2 linked regions of the Macaca mulatta genome follow. Each later gene encodes a partner of the first gene's protein in a complex. Links are inferred from orthologs where the notes say so. Each region holds a gene or a part of one and is shown on either strand. Other genes may lie near its edges.

Evidence for each region.
Region 2: the proteins of FMN2 (region 1) and SPIRE1 are in contact, whole or in part, in a crystal structure (PDB 2YLE), measured with the Homo sapiens proteins. The link is inferred for Macaca mulatta from reciprocal best matches to the Homo sapiens genes FMN2 and SPIRE1. Residues at the interface, in NP_064450.3 of Homo sapiens: Ser1702, Leu1703, Lys1705, Ile1706, Lys1707, Pro1708, Arg1709, His1710, Gly1713, Ile1714, Lys1715, Lys1717, Ile1718, Lys1721, Thr1722; in NP_001122098.1 of Homo sapiens: Gln51, Pro52, Ile53, Asn54, Glu127, Ile131, Tyr134, Lys135, Asp138, Leu141, Lys142, Glu143, Asn144, Glu145, Glu146, Arg147, Glu148, Glu154, Ile157, Asp158, Ala161, Asn162, Thr163, Val164, Glu165.

Annotation. Positions count from the first base shown.
Region 1 is NC_133406.1:8,762,167-8,770,570, reverse strand, and holds part of FMN2 (formin-2), read left to right. Parts: intron 1-2,649; coding exon 2,650-2,741; intron 2,742-2,911; coding exon 2,912-3,041; intron 3,042-4,182; coding exon 4,183-4,329; intron 4,330-7,617; coding exon 7,618-7,677; intron 7,678-7,839; coding exon 7,840-7,960; intron 7,961-8,404. UniProt on the Homo sapiens protein: Actin-binding protein that is involved in actin cytoskeleton assembly and reorganization. Acts as an actin nucleation factor and promotes assembly of actin filaments together with SPIRE1 and SPIRE2.
Region 2 is NC_133423.1:83,138,284-83,146,687, reverse strand, and holds the end of SPIRE1 (protein spire homolog 1), read left to right. Parts: intron 1-547; exon of another isoform or gene 548-1,308; intron 1,309-2,195; coding exon 2,196-2,454; 3' UTR 2,455-5,565; downstream 5,566-8,404.

The sequences.
Region 1 (8,404 bases):
GAGAACAAGAAAGGAACAAGAAACGGGCAGAGATAAAGTGACAGTTCCCTCGACTCGCCATGAAGTTTACTGTCAGCCCAGGGCAGCTTTATTTCTTTCTGACGTGAGCAGAAATGGTCTAATAGAGTACAGGGTATAAAGGACTGTGCAATTAGTACTTCATGTGTGCTGAATAGTTTGGGGAGTGCCTCTAGAGTACTAATAGAAAGTCACTTTGTTCTGAAGACATTGATGAATTTCATCCTTCTCTTGTATCTTTAATTATTACTCTGGTTTACCTTAGCCATCTTTTTGCTCTTACAGCTGCCTTTTGATTTGTTTTTGTGTTGTTTAAGACCCAGGGAAATTTACTGTGTCCGTGGAGTAGGATTCTAGTCATTCAACCCCACGTTGAGTCTATTCAACAGCTAGATTGAGTCTATATTAAGGTGTCTAAACAAAATCAAACTAAGAAACCTAATTATGTCACCAAACTGTAGCAAACAAGCAAACTGTAGCTTGTATCCAAGCTGGATTTTTTTAATGAGGTTTTGGATATAGAAAGGGGTTGGGCTTGGAGGTAGGTGACTAACCAACTCTCTGGTAGAAACTCTTTCCTTTAAAAGAATAAAGAGATTATAGGGATTGGAGACCTTTATGTGTTATACTTTGGTGGGGACTTGTGTGTCTTAAAACAACTCTTGCCTTTTCTGTATTTTTAGCTGTAATGTTCTTTTAGAATATTACCCAAGTCTCTCATTTGCCAGAAAGATCGGTATTAGTCTGTCCTGTAATATGGCTTTACATGGTCTTATGATATTATTTGTGAGGCTGACTCTCATAGGTAACTGACAAATGAATGAAGTAGTATTTGCTCAAGTAGTAAAATTCTTGAGCAAAGCCACAAATAACTGGGGAGAAAAGTAAGATTACTGTGCAATTGAAATTCTAGAAGAGTTTTAATTTTTGGAGTAGCTTAGAATATTTACAGTAAAATGTACCTCCTTTACTTCTTTGTATTCTTTTGATGCGTCACATTCCAAATGCAAAATTTATGAAACTGTCAGAGGATCAACTTCTCTGGCAGATCTCTCATCAGTTCTTCCCTCGTTAAAAGAAGCTTCTTTTGAGACAAGTCTTTGTTAGTTAATCCTATCAACTGAAAACCTGCATTTCAAAACAATCAGTAAATACAAAGCAGAACCTCGCTTTGTTTAGGTGGTATCTATCAATTCTCTTGAAATCTATCAGGCTCTAGCTTCTGTAGCAGTTCTTGGCTGAGCTGCTTGTCTATTTAAACAGAAATAATATTGAAAGAATATTAACTTCTGAAGACTGGACTCAGAAATCATAATATGGTGGTCTATTCTTAATGCATGTAGAAAATGTGATATTTTGGCTCTTTTAATACACCTTTGTGAGTTGTAAAATAAAGACAGGACTACAAATAAAAATAATCCAAATACTCTATAAAATACAGATTTGTGCTTCCTGAAGTCTATAAAATCTCCTACCCTATATTAATATTAAAAATGTACAGGATCTTCTCTCATAAGGAAACACAGTTAGAATGACAAATTTTTAGTTTGAGATTATAAAGGGTGACAGAAGACACTTAAGAAGAAAATAAGCATGGAGTCATTTTTGTATCAAAAAGAAAATCCAGGCCAGGTGCAGTGACTCATGCCTGTAATCCCAGCAGTTTGGGAGGCCGAGATGGGTGGATCACCTGAGGTCAGGAGTTCAAGACTAGCCTGGCCAACATGGTGAAACCTCGTCTCTACTAAAAATACAAAAAATGAGCTGGATGTAGTGGCAGGTGCCTGTAATCCCAGCTACTTAGGAGGCTGAGGCAGGAGAATCACTTGAACCCGGGAGGCGCAGGTTGCAGTGAGCAGATGTCATGCCATTGTACTCCCACCTGGGCGACTACTTTATAAAATGAAATGCTTGTGTTCTAGAAAGTATTATAAACAGCCAAAATAACAAAGGAAAACTATTGTTTTAAAGCATGCTTGAATGAATAAACATTTCTGAATAGTTATGAATAAACATAACTATTCAGATCACTAATAGTTAATAACATTATTTGGAAGATTTGGGGATAATCTGGCTCACATTAAACATATTTACACTTTATTTTATTTTATTTTACTTTACTTTGTTTTATTTTATTTATTTATTTATTTATTTATTTATTTATTTGAGATGGAGTCTCACTCTGTCACCCAGGCTGGAGTTCAGTGGTACAATCTCAGCTCACTGCAACCTCCTCCTCCCAGGTTCAGGCGATTCTCCTGCCTCAGCCTCTCAAGTAGCTGGGATTACAGGCACCCGCCACCACGCCCCACTAATTTTTGTATTTTTAGTAGAGATGGGGTTTCACCATATTGGCCAGGCCAGTCCTCAAACACCTGACCTCAGGTGATCCACCCCCCTTGGCCTCCCAAAGTGCTGGGATTACAGGCATGAGCCACTGCACCCGGCCATATTTAGACTTTCAAATGCCTCATGAATTAAGTCAAGCTTTACTACAAACAGATGCTAAGAAACATGAAAACAGATAGAGTTTTGCTGTATTCAGATCAGTACATTTATCAAGATAATTAGATTATTTAAGGGATTCAGTTGGCCAGACTTTGAAAAACTGTTTGGTTTTTGTTTTTCTAGAGAGCACAGTCAGACGAACTGGAAAAAATAGAAAAGCATGGCCGGTCTTCCAAAGACAAGGAAAATGCCAAGTCTCTGGACAAACCTGAGCAGTAAGCATGCCTTATAGCCGTGCAGAGGGCGTCCAGGCCATGGGTGGGCCCGTTTTGTTTGGAAAATGCAATGCAGTGTCTTCAGTGCATACTTGTTATGAATGAGATGAGAATAAACATCTGTGGATGTGAATTATATTTTTCTTCTTAACTTGGCTTTATTTCCTTAGGTTCCTTTATGAACTGTCACTAATCCCCAACTTTTCAGAGCGAGTCTTTTGCATCCTGTTCCAGTCCACGTTTTCAGAAAGCATTTGCTCAATTCATCGCAAACTGGAATTACTACAGAAATTGTGTGAGGTAAGTTCTGGTCCAAAGAGAGCTGAACTTGAATCTCATTTAATTGTGCTCAGTCATGTTCATATTTCAGAAAAGCGTTCTTTTATTTACTCGAAGTACTCACCAAATTTGACGGATCACAGTCCCACAGAAGGGAACATTTTATGATTGACCTTCAAGATCAAAGCAAATGTTCCGAGGGGTGCCCAGGGCTGCAAGACCACATTGCTAGAATGTGGCCAGTACATGTTGGCCTCCAGAGACTTCTGTGTCCTCTCCTTTTGCCAAAACAAAATCTTCAGTTTTCACGGTCCTCTCAGACATCAGACTTCCAAAGGAATGTGATTTGAAGGCATTTTTCTTTACTTTCTTTCGTTGTCAGGAAGGACTCCTCCACAAATTGTTAATAATTATTCCAGCCAAATAATTTAGGAACAGCCATATGACTCAACAGAAGACAGATATTCCTCTGAAAACAAAAAATAAATGCTTGGCAGAAACAACCAATGTTAACATTTAAAACAATTTGTCAAATATCAGTAGTACCATTTGTTCTAGTTGCGGTAAATCATTTTGAAAAGTGAAAAGATGTTCTTAAAGGCTCACATTTTCAGAAGAAGTGACATGCAAATTTAAGTTAAACACAGTGTTTTGAAAGAAATGAGTGTGAGCTCTTTGGGGGTAAACCTAAATTTAGAAATTAATCTCTGCGTCTGCTTTTTGGTTTCCTCTGCTGAGGCCAAAAAATTTGTTTTGTTCCAGACATAGGCACAATTAAGACAATGGCAGATATATTAGTGATGTTATTTTGTAATGGTTCTCATTTGGCCTTATTTAATAGTTCTCATATATCCTTATTCTCATATAGCCTTAGTTCCCATATAGCCTTAATAGTTCTCACACAACCTTGTTTTCCTTGCGATTACATCATAGACATGGCCTAACATAGCATCCCCCAGCTTACAGAGGCATACCTGAATGTTTGTGGGTGGTGCAGCTTTTACTAACTTTCAAGATACTGCTCTTAACATATACCTAATAATTAGGAATGATAAAGTTTGGTTGTGACCCAAAACTACTAATATAAATAGCTGGCATTGACTTGATGATTCAAACAAAACCTGGTATAGAAGTTGTTTTTTGTTGTTGTTCTGTTTCACAGACGTTAAAAAATGGCCCAGGGGTTATGCAGGTTCTAGGTTTGGTTCTTGCCTTTGGCAACTACATGAATGGAGGAAATAAGACTCGAGGACAGGCAGATGGCTTTGGATTAGACATTCTTCCAAAACTGAAAGATGTCAAGAGCAGTGTAAGTATTTTGCATGAGTGGACATAGGCAAATTGAGAATTCAATGTTTTGTTTAGTAATAAGTCTGAATGTAAAGCAGTTGTAATAAATATTTCTTTTATGTTCCTAGGCCAAATGTTTCTTTATGTTCTGAGCTAGAAAAAAGTAATGTCCATCAGATATTTGTGATTAATAATGTTTCCTAAAGTGAATAATTTTTATTCTTATGTCTAATTAATAATTACAACTTTTTAATATAAAAACAATATAAAATAACTTTTTATATTGTTTTAATATAAAAACAATAATTTCTTTTACTGTATCTTTCCCATGTCTGCTAATATTTATCCTTTTGGAATCTGAAGGCTAATTATTTTCTATGAGTTAGACAGTGTATCTCTTGTTTTTTTCTTTGTCATGTCAAGCAATGGAGGCCAATAGGTCCACATTTTGAAAATAACACAAAGATGAATAAAATGGCTTGTAAATAAAATATAAAAGATGATTCTACTCTGCTGCATATGATTTTCTCCTTGATACTGGTGCGTCGGGGGATGTCTAAGCCCTCTTGCAGACCTAATTATTTTTGGTACTACTTCTGCAGTTGTGTTTGTTTGAAATTAATATCTAAGCAATTGTGAGAGTGCCAGGAGAAATATGAGGTTAGGAATGATGGTTAGAGTCACAGAATGAAGTCTGAGATGATAAACTTAAAAAATAAAAGAGTTACATTTCTCTAATAAAAGAATCATCACACAAAAAAGTAAGATAAAGGAAATTCTGGACATGTTTTTGAAATATTAAGTTTAATAATTGGCTTGTAGAAATAAAAATATGTAGGATTGTCCTTCCTAGATAATGAAATAATTTCCTTCATGGGAGAGAGAGAGACTTTTAGACTGAGGCAGGACAATGGCATGAACACGGGAGGCAGAGCTTGCAGTGAGCCGAGATCGCACCACTGCACTCCAGCCTGGGTGACAGAGCGAGACTCCATCTCAAAAAAAAAAAAATATTTTCTGCCAGCCAACAATTTGTTTATTATTTTATATACAGATGATTCTCAATGTAAAATGGAGTTATGGCCTGATAAACCCATCCTAAGTTGAAAATACCATAAGTGAAAAGGCATTCAATACATCTAACCTAGTAAGCATCAAAGCTTAGCCTAGCCTGCCTCAAACATGCTCAGAACACTTACCTCAGCCTACAGTTGGGCAAATCATCTAACACAAAGCCTATTTTATAATAAAGTGCTGAATATCACATGTAATTTATTGAATACTGTGCTGCAAGTGACAAACAGAATGCTTGTATGGGTACTCAAAGTATAGTTTCTACTGAATGTGTATCACTTTTGTACCATTGTAAAGTCAAAAAATTGTAAGATGAACCATTGTAAGTCAGCGTCTGTGTGTGTGTGTGTGTGTGTGTGTGTGTGTGTGTGTGTGGTCAAATTAATACAGATATTCATTCAACATTCTTTCATTGAGCATCTATGGAACATGGACACTGCTTTTCCAACACTGAATAATTCGTAGTTCTTCCCTGGTACACCCACACATATGATGTTTTTATTTTTATAATTGTTTGTTCAAATGCTCATGTGTATGATACACATTTTCATAGAAGTCTTACTATAGAGAGCTGATAAATTACATTTGTTTAAAAAAAATGCTTAAGCCAAGTGCAATAGCATGAGCCCATAATCCCAGCTACTTGGGAGGACTTTTCGAGGCCAACCTGGGTTATACAGTGAGACCCCTTCTCAAAAAAAAAAAAAAAAAAAAAAAGAAAGAAAAGAAGTCCTTTTCTTAACCTATGGTGATTCTTGAATACTCAGCAACTGCTTGTTGGAGTGAAACAACTTTTGCAAATAATATTGAAATACATAGCATCAATATCATGTTTAAATTATAGAAATGAACTGGAAGTAGATTCTAGTGATCATATACAAATAAGAGATTATTTGTGGGACTTTTTTGGTATCAGTTTATATATTGTATTCAATCCTCTATTAGATTAAATGTCATTAATTTAGATAATCAAGGGGTAATCTAAAATAAAAATTTTAATATGTAATCAAGAAATAAGTTTTTAAAATAGTTTCACTTGTACTCAGAAGAGCTATGCAAAGTCTTCCTGAATTGGTTCTTTCTCTGTAAAACAAATGTAACTATACTTATTCCTTAGTACTGTTTATAGACCTCCATGGACAGAGCTGTTACTTTGATCACTTAGAATTTTCTCTTAGCACACCAAGTTTTGTTAATTGATTCAGGTGCTGCCAGCCATTTCACTGAATTACAAGTTGGGAGAGAGAAGGGAACTCAAGTTGCTTAAATCATGTTACAAGCAAATCCTGTCTAATGAGGGGTGTCTTTAATAGCTATATTACTGACTCATGTCAAACTTGATTATAAAGAGGTTTTGCTCTTTTTACAAATATAGAAAAAATCGTGGTTATATTAAACATTCCAGAGAATGTAGTTTGTATCATAGGGTTTGTTTTTAAAGTAAAATATATACCTGAGCTCTCAAATTCAGATTATCTACTACTACTTTGGAAGAATACACAAAAAAAGCTAAATAAAAATTAATGCCCCTAAATAAACCAGAAAGGAGGTGAAAAGGTATTTTTGAAATGTGTTAGATATGAAACAATTTTACCTTTTTTTAAATAGAACTACCCACATTGTCTTATTTATAAACACATGAGTATTAATTTGTCAAATCCCAATTGCTGACATAACAAATTATAATATTGGAATTGTTAAAAGCTCCCCTTTACTTAATATTGGAATTGTTAAAAGCTCCCCTTTACTTAAAATGATACTTAGCTTTTTTATTTCCCTAATCTATATGCTAATGAGCCTCAATCAAAGTTACTGTTGGAGTGGTACCTATTTGTTCAGCTATATATCAATGCTAGCAATGTTTAATTATTTCCTTTAAGATAGTAGTTTTAAAACAAAAAATTATCAAACAAAACAATAAAAACACAAAATAATAAAATATACAAGACATGAGCTAAATTTCTAATTGAGGGGGGTAACAATTGGAAAGTATTTACAGTTTAGACTTTGCCCCTAAATAGCTATGCTAAGATTGGAACACTGGGGAGAAAAATCTTTTAAGCCATCAAACTCCTTAGACACAATGGCCAAGACAATTCAAAATGTAAAATTTCACATTACATTCCAAATGTTCTCATGTATATATATGAATTTACTAGAATCTTTTTTGGTAACACTTTATATTTAATTAGTTAAAAAATACGTTGTCACTGACTTTGGTCTTTCTGCCTAGGACAATAGCAGAAGCCTTTTGTCATATATTGTTTCGTATTATCTCCGAAATTTTGATGAGGTAAGACAATTTTTACATCTCGTCACATTCCATTATTCTTTATTTGTTGGATGATTTGGCAGTACTTTTTGTTGTTGTTTTTGGTTTGGAGATACCTGCCATTATTCTTTTTTATGTTGATAACCAATTTCTTTGACTATAATGGGGTTTTTTGTTCATTAGGATGCTGGAAAAGAACAGTGCCTCTTTCCACTGCCAGAACCCCAGGACCTTTTCCAGGCCTCACAGATGAAGTTTGAAGATTTTCAAAAAGATCTCAGAAAACTGAAGAAAGACTTGAAAGGTAACTTAAAATCCTGAACTCATGTTTTCTGTTTATGCTTTTTTAATGAGAGAAGGCAGACTTTTCAATGTTTTTAGAGAAAAGTAATCTTTTTTATCTTTATAGAACTAAATTTGTGTGTGTGTGGCAAAAGAACAATTTTGCCTATATTCTTTGGTTGTTTAAAACGTTATGTGTGTCAAAAATTTGGTTATTAAGTAATACCTTGGTTATTTCAGTTAATCTGTTTTGTCAGGAATAAGTTTACCTTTTGTTTTCATTTTCATTTTATAACCAAGAACATTTGGGTATTGGTCGTGTCATGGTTGGATACAAATTATGTCATTGTTATAATGGAAGATAAATAGTCCCTCCCCATTTTCCCTTGGTGTACTTGCCCAAGATTTTCTGGCTTATGAACTTTCCTGGGAACAAAATATCTTCTTCTACTTAAAAACCACATGC
Region 2 (8,404 bases), on another chromosome or scaffold:
AATTCTAGAAGGGTGGTTAAGAGTTTTTAGTTTTTTTGGCCAGGCGTGGTGGCTCACGCCTGTAATCCCAGCACTTTGGGAGGCCGAGGTGGGCGGATTACCTGAGGTCGGGAGTTTGAGACCAGCCTGACCAACGTGGAGAAACCCCGTCTCTACTAAAAATACAAAATTAGGCCGGGCGCGGTGGCTCAAGCCTGTAATCCCAGCACTTTGGGAGGCCGAGACGGGCGGATCACGAGGTCAGGAGATCGAGACCATCCTGGGTGATGGTGAAACCCCGTCTCTACTAAAATACAAAAAAAATTAGCCGGGCGAGGTGGCGGGCGCCTGTACTCCCAGCTACTCGGGAGGCTGAGGCAGGAGAATGGTGTGAACCCGGGAGGCGGTGCTTGCAGTGAGCTGAGATCCGGCCACTGCACTCCAGCCTGGGCAACAGAGCCAGACTCCGTCTCAAAAAAAAAAAAAAAAAAAACAAAATTAGCCGGGTGTGGTGGCACATGCCTGTAATCCCAGCTACTTGGGAGGCTGAGGCAGGAGAATCGCTTGAACCTGGGAGGCAGAGGTTACAGTGAGCCGAGATCACGCCATTGCACTCCAGCCTGGGCAACAAGAGCGAAACTCCGTCTCAGGAAAAAAAAAAACAAAAGAGTTTTTAGTTTTGTTTTGTTTTGTTTTTTCAGATAAACAGTTTCTTTATTCATCTTCCTCCTCCTCCTCTCCTTCTTCCTTTTCATCTTCTTCATCTTCATCTTCCTCTTCCACCCTTTTCTGGGCAACTTTAGCAGGACCCTTTTCTCCATCAAACTTTCCTTTCGAATTATAGTCAGAAACATCCTTCTCACACTTTTCCTTCAGCTTTGCCGCCTCAGTGGTATAAGGCTCCTTTTCACTGTCATTTAAGTTATTCCACACCTCACCCAGCTTTTTTGCCACGTCTCCAATAGAGATGCCAGAGTTTATGAATTTGATCTTGGGGTGGAATTCTGAACAGAGCAGGAAGAATCCAGATGGTGGCCTTCTCAGGGCATTAGGATCCTTCTTCTTGCCACCCTTAGCTGGTCCATAATCCTTCATTTCTCAATGGTACTGTACTTTATCCACCTTTGCCATTTCATCAAATTTAGACTTCTCTTTCCCAGACATTGTCTTCCACCTTTCAGAGCACTTGGAAAATTCTGCAAAATTGACAGAGCCCTCTGGGCTTTTCTTATGTTCTCTGCACATCTGCACAAAGAAGGCATAAGCAGACATCTTGCCCTTTGGTTTCTTGGGGTCACCTTTAGCCATCCTGACTGTATTGTTCGATAGTCTGGGCAGCGCCTTTTTTTTTTTTTTTTTTTTTTTTTGTGATGCGGAGTCTCGCTCTGTCGCCCAGGCTGGAGTGCAATGGCGCTATCTCGGCTGACTGCAAGCCCCGCCTCCTGGGTTCACGCCATACTCCTGCCTCAGCCTCCTGTGTAGCTGAGACTACAGGCGTCCACCACCTCACCTCGCAAATTGTTTTTTGTATATTTAGTAGAGACGGGGTTTCACCACGTTAGCCAGGATGGTCTCCATCTCCTGACCTCGTGATCCGCCTGCCTGGGCCTCCCAAAGTGCTGGAATTACAGGAATAAGCCACCGTGCCCGGCCTGGGCAGCGCCTATCTTATAAGACATGTTTCCTGCTTTCTTTCATTTTTCTGTCTTTTTTTTTCTTTTTTTTTTTGAGACAGTTTCGCTTTTGTCACCCTGGCTGGAGTGCAGCGGTGCCATCTCAGCTCACTACAACCTCCACCTCCCAGGTTCAAGCAATTCTCCTGCCTCAGCCTCCCGAATAGTGGGGATTACGGGGCCTGCCACCATGCCCAGCTAATTTTTTTCTTTTTTTAGTAGAGACTGGGTTTCGCCGTGTTAGCCAGGCTGGCCTCAAACTCCTGACCTCAGGTGATCCGCCTGCCTCGGCCTCCCAAAGTGCTGGGATTACAGGCGTGAGCCACCGCACCTGGCCTCCTACTTTCTTTTCTAAGTAATATTTTTTAGCCTTGTCTCCAATAAGAAATTTTTTTAGAAGGACATATGATTAAATCACTCATCCATTCCATGATGTTTTGACAACAAATTTACTCTTTATTTCACAGACTTTCTTCTTACTGCAGTAGACCTATAAGTAACGATGCTGGGCTTCTGTTTGGTTTTCTGTTGTTTTTACCCCAGGTTCTCCTCAAAATCTAAGTCTATGGACAAATCAGATGAAGAACTCCAGTTTCCCAAAGAGTTGATGGAGGACTGGAGCACCATGGAGGTGTGTGTGGACTGCAAGAAGTTCATTTCGGAAATCATCAGTTCAAGCCGGCGCAGTCTGGTGTTGGCCAACAAACGGGCCCGATTGAAAAGGAAAACGCAGTCTTTCTACATGTCCCCACCAGGCCCCTCGGAGTACTGCCCTTCGGAGAGGACGATCAGTGAGATCTGAGCCTCGTGCCTTTCAGCTGCTTTTGTGCTTAGAGTCAGCGTCCGTGCGCGAGAACACTGAGCCGGGCTGGCACTCCTTTCTGTGGTTTTATTTAATGGGCTTGAATTTGCATTAGATCAGATTTTTGCTGCATCACATTGTTCCACAGACTGAATGCTGTGTTCATATCAATTGATGAAACGTGACAGGTCCGCCAATTGCTCGTTTGCACTGAGAGAGGACAACAGTTTGAAACTTACTTTTGTGTCTGTGTGGCTTCGGGAGCCAGTAACTACTTCCTTAGTTCAGTTCTTTACTGTTCCTCGAATAATCTCCTGACTAAGGCAAAAAAATCAAAAGCTTCTCCTGTGAGAATCAGTCTAGCAGAGACGCCGATGTCAGCACAGCCCTAAGCAGTAAGTCATATTGGCATTTCCACGTGACCGTGTTTCTCTCCCGTGTACAGAGAGATCCAGAGCCCTACGCACCAGGACCTGGGGGCTCGCCGCACAGAACCTAGAAGCACCTGCTGACACTCTCCAACTGATTTTTAAATTATTGTTGCTTGGAGATGAAAATTACATAAGGGACTTTATGCCTGCATTCTAGTGCAAAACATCTGAAGAGCTGTACACCCACAAGGGTGACTATTTCCCCTGAGTGGCCGTGTTGTCCCAGTGCCCTGGATCAGTGTCTCCTGAGTGGATGACAGGTCTTCATTCTCTATCTTGAATGTATTATGGTTACTAATAGTTTTATAATGGAGGTCTAAGAATTGAAGTTTTGTGGGAGTTTCAGGACAAAGGAAGGCTAAAAGTTTGTCAAGAAGTTGCGCATATTTTGGTTACCTATGAGAAGGGTTGTGACCGCGTACAGTGGCAGCTGTTGGCCGCGCTGCAGAAATGAGCTGGAGCTCATGCGTTTTCAGCTACATTTTTCATCACTTTATAGTACGTCCATCTTGAGTAAATTAAGCCACAATTTGGTACCTAGGGTCTCAAAAACTGAAATTTATTTTTATAAATGAATTTTAAAAGAAAAAATATCTACTTCTTTTAAAGTTAGAAGAAAATTAACCTGCCGACAGGCAACATTTTTGGGTGCTTTCTGCACTAGTTTTCCTTGTAAATGGTTTGAGTGAGTAGGTTGGGTTTCTGACAAAAGTAGACTGGAGGGTAGCACTGTATGCCTCAAACGTCTCAGTGTGTTTGACTCATACCATGGGCTATACTTTATTATTCTGGTATGCTTACAAATGACCAACCAACCAAATTGCCATTAAAGTTTGGAAAATCTGTTAATGCACATGCACAGTAATTTCCGGAAAGCCATAGGACATGTCTGTAGTCAGCACCATGACAGCACCGTGTCATGAAAGGCATGGCGGCTGCATTTCATACCACGTCAAATACAGTAACATTTCTCTACTAAATTAACAGCAATACCTCAAAACTGCTCCGGTGGTAGTTTTTAATGGGTTGAAATTTACAGTTTAGTAAATGGCTTAAAATTACTTATACTTATGAAATAAACTTTACCAGTTGACTAAAATAATGCATGTTAACAGTTGGTCTGTATTTGCATGTAAAAGTGGGCCACCAGAGAACCCTTATTGATTACTTAATTTAAGTGTTTAAATTATTTTAAAGACTCCTGTTTAAGAGCTTTAAGAATTGTACTGGGCGAATCTCATTTATAAAACTTCCTAAGAGCCTATCTGAACTCTAGACTCCAGACAGTTAGGTGGGAGTAGAAATCTACCCCCTTTGATGACCCCAGGCTTGAGTTTTTAAAATGACTACCCAGAAGGGCACAAGGGGGAGGAAGTGGTATTTGTATATGTATATAAATATGCACCTAGGAGAATGTGCTTTTTAAAATAATGACTACTGTTTTTATTAAAACATAAGAAACTACACCCCCAAAATAAGACTTTCATTCACATTCACAAAGCAAACATCTAGTAAATGTCTTTCACTTCACTTTATGATACTGTATGGGATGATTTGGGCATTACGATCACCTCTTACCACAGCATAGAACATCCATTCTTCAACAGCATTAACGGAGTTTGCCAAGTGCATTAAAGAGGTCACGGGGAGGGTACGTTCATATGAAACAATCTGCAGAAACTGGCGTAAGAAAGGGCACATGGCAGAAAGTTGTAGAAATCAAATTACTATCATTTTTTGTTGCCAAAACAAAGTCTTACATTTAACCCCCCTTTGTACCACTCCCCTCAACACTTCACCTAAGCTAGATAATTTCCATAGGGTAATTCACTAAGAGCTTGTGGAGCTTGGTTTTAAAATCCTTAGCCTAATCTGACTTTAGGCATAGCTTCCAGTTCTTCCTTCCTTGTCCTGGTTTCTTGTTCAGCTTTTACTTCTAATCCAACAACAAAATAGATGTCTGGCTGGTCTCAGAGCATGTGTGCATTTCTGAACCATCATCCCTGCTCTCCTCTCAGCTCCCTCCAGGCCTGAGCACCGGTTCCTTTTATCCCGTACGTCATAAAGTCACACTATTGGGAAACCTGTGCTTCCCTCTCCATGGCTTAACTCCCTGTCAGTGTCGGAATGTATAAGAATGCTTGTAAATATTGTAATATACTTATTAATATTTGAAAGACATTCATTCAGTGGACAGTGGGAATTAACTCTCCCAAGGCAAGTGAAAAGAAATGATCAACATGTACATTGATTTAACAATCTTACTAGATTTTAATTCTTAAGTATTTCAAATGAAACCAGAAGGTGGTTATGTAGGAGGCTTAAAATGATCTTATGTCTAAAGAGATTCTGTTATTAGCACCATGAACTCATACTCTGAAATTTTTAAGCCTTTTATTTTTCTAACTATATTAATATAGGACTGGATTTTAGGCATCATATAGGAAACACAAAACTTGTTGCTGTTTGCTAAAGCAATATAGCAGAAAATTTCGTACATGCAAAACTGCTAAAGGACTGCAGAGAAATGTGTACTACTGACGGGGCTTTTACTAGGCCTCCTGCGTGTGTAAAAGTCGAGGTATTGCTGGCATTCAGGGTGACATGATGGTACTAAATGTTTTCCATTAAAGTCTTCTATTTTAAAATTTAGGGAAAAATAAAATGGCTTTCCATCATACGTTCTGTGTTGAGTTCCTATCGTAAGACGGTGATGTCTTTTGTTAACTAACTGTCAGAAATCATCTCGATTGGGAATGCAGGGTACTTTTATCAGCAACCTGTGAAGAAACACAGTCTAGGCCGGGCGTGGTAGCTCAGTAATCCCAGCACTTTGGGAGGCCGAGGCAGACGGATCATCTGAGTTCAGGAGTTCAAGTGATTCTCGTGCCTCAGCCTCCCGAGTAGCTGGGATTACAGGTGCCTGCCATCACACCCAGCTAATTTTTGTATTTTTGTACATGGTGGCCTACATAGTGAAACCCCATCTCTACTAAAAATACAGAAATTAGCCGGGCATGGTGGTGTGCTCCTGTAATCCTGGCTACTGGGGAGGCTAAGGCATGAGAATTGCTTGAACCCGGCAGGTGGAGGTTGCAGTGAGCTGAGATTGTGCCACTGTACTCCAGCCTGGGCGACAGAGCAAGATTACCCCTCAAAAAAAAAAAAAGAAATACAGTCTACAAGGACCGCACTGGAAAAATTAACCACCACAGTGACAAGCCACCACAAGTGACAAGCAGCCATGAGTTAGGAGAGTATGTAAAGAGTACATAACATTTTATTATGTATCACAAATATGGAGACAAATCCTGTGGGAGATGGATGAAGCTTTCTTTGACAGCTTCCTGGAGGCATAATTGATAAAGCAGAAAAGCCCGCACAATAAGCAGTAAGTCATGTTGGCATTCCCACGTGACCGTGTTTCTATCCCGTGTAAAGAGACATCCAGAGCCCTACGCACCAGGACCTGGGGGCTCACCGCACAGAACCTAGAAGCACCTGCTGACACTCTCCAACTGATTTTTAAATTATTGTTGTTTGGAAATAAAAATTACATTAAGGGACTTTATGCCTGCATTCTAGTGCAAAACATCTGAAGAGCTATACACCCACAAGGGTGACTATTTCCCCAGCCACGCCCAGGCGTGTCCCACCCCATCATGTGTGGCTTGGTGGCGCTTCACAGGTGCTGCATTTTTACAGGTTGTGGCAGCCCTGCAGCAGGCAAGTCAGTCGGCAGCGTTTTTCCAACAGCTTGTGCACACTTTGTGTCTCTGCATCACATTTGGGTAACTCTCACAACATTTCAAGCTTTTTCATTATTACTATATCTTTTATGGTGATCTGTGGTCTTTGATGTCACTATTGTAATTGTTTTGGGGAGCCATGAACTGGGCCCATATAAGATGGCAAGCTTAATCGATAAATGTTGTGTGTGTTCTGACCGTTCCCCCATCTCTCTCCCTCTCCTCGGACTCCCCATTCCCTGAGAAACAATATTGAAATGAGGCCAATAACAGTACAGTGGCTTCTAAGTGTTAAGTGAAAGAAAGAGTTGAGTCTCTCATTTTAAATCTGAAGCTAGAAATGATTATGCTTAGTGAGGCAGGCATTCAAAGCTGAGATGGGCCCAAAGCTAGGCCTCTTGCACCAAACAGCCAAGCTGTGAATGCAAAGAGAAAGTTAATGAAGGAAATTAACAAGTGCTACTCCAGTGAACACTTGATAAGAAAGCAAGCTGTGTGTGGTGCATGCCTGTAGTCCCGGCTCCTCAGGAGGCTGATGCAGGAGGATCGCTTGAGCCCCAGGAGTTTGAGGCCGCAATGAGCTATGATCACACCACTGGATTCTGTTCTGGGTGAGAGTGAGACTCCATCTCTTTAAAAAAAAAAAATGATAAGAAAGCAAAACAGCCTTATTTCCTGATACGGAGAATGTCTGAGTGGTCTGGATAAAGAACCACATTTTGAGAACGTTTGGGTGGTCTGGATAAAGACCAGCCACATTTCCTTAAGCCAAATCTAATCCAAAGCAAGGCCCTAGCTCACTTCAATTCTTTGAAGGCTGAGAGAGGTAAGGAGGCTGCAGAAGAATCTGAAAGCTGACAGAGGTTGTTGGTTCATGAAGTTTAAGGAAAGAAGCCATCTCCGTAACATAAAGTACAAGGCAAAGCAGTAACTGCTGATGGAGAAGCTGCAGCAAGTTCTTCAGAAGATCTAGCTATGATCTTGAAGAACGTGGCTACACTACACATTTGCAATGCAGATGAAACAGAAGATGCCATGTAGGACTTTCATAGCTAGAGAACAGTCAATGCCTGGCTTCCCGGCTTCAAAGGCTGACATGCTTGTTAGGGACTAATGCAGCTGGTGACCTGAAGTAGAAGCCAGTGCTCATTTACCATTTGGAAAATCCTAAGGCCCTTGAGTCTGAAGCTAAATCTACTCTGCCTGTACCCTGCCAATGCCCTGCCAATGACTAACAAAGCCTCGACAGATGACAGCAGATCTGTTTACAGCAAGGTTTACTGAATGTTTTAAGCCTACTGTTGAGACCTACTGCTCAGAAAGAAAAGATTGCTTTCAAAATATTACTGCTGATTGACAAATGCACCTGGTCACCCAAGAGTTCTGATGGAGATGTACAAGGAGATTGTTTTCATGCCTGCTAACACAACATCCATTCTGTAGCCCATAGATCAAGAAGTAATTTTTACTTTTATTTAAGAAATACACTTCATAAGGCTTTAGCTGTCACAGGCAGTGGTTCCTCTGATGGATCTGGGCAAAGCATATTGAAAACCCTCAGGAAAGGATTCACCATTCTAGATGCCATTAAAAACACTGGCGATTCATGGAAGGAGGCCAAAATGCAACATTAACAGGAGTTTGGAAGAAGTTCATTCCAAGACTCCAGTAGAGGAAGTAACTGCAGACGGGGTGGAAGTAGCAAGTGAGCTAGAATTAGACATGTAGCCTGAGGATGTGACTGAATTACTGCAGTCTCATGAGAAAACG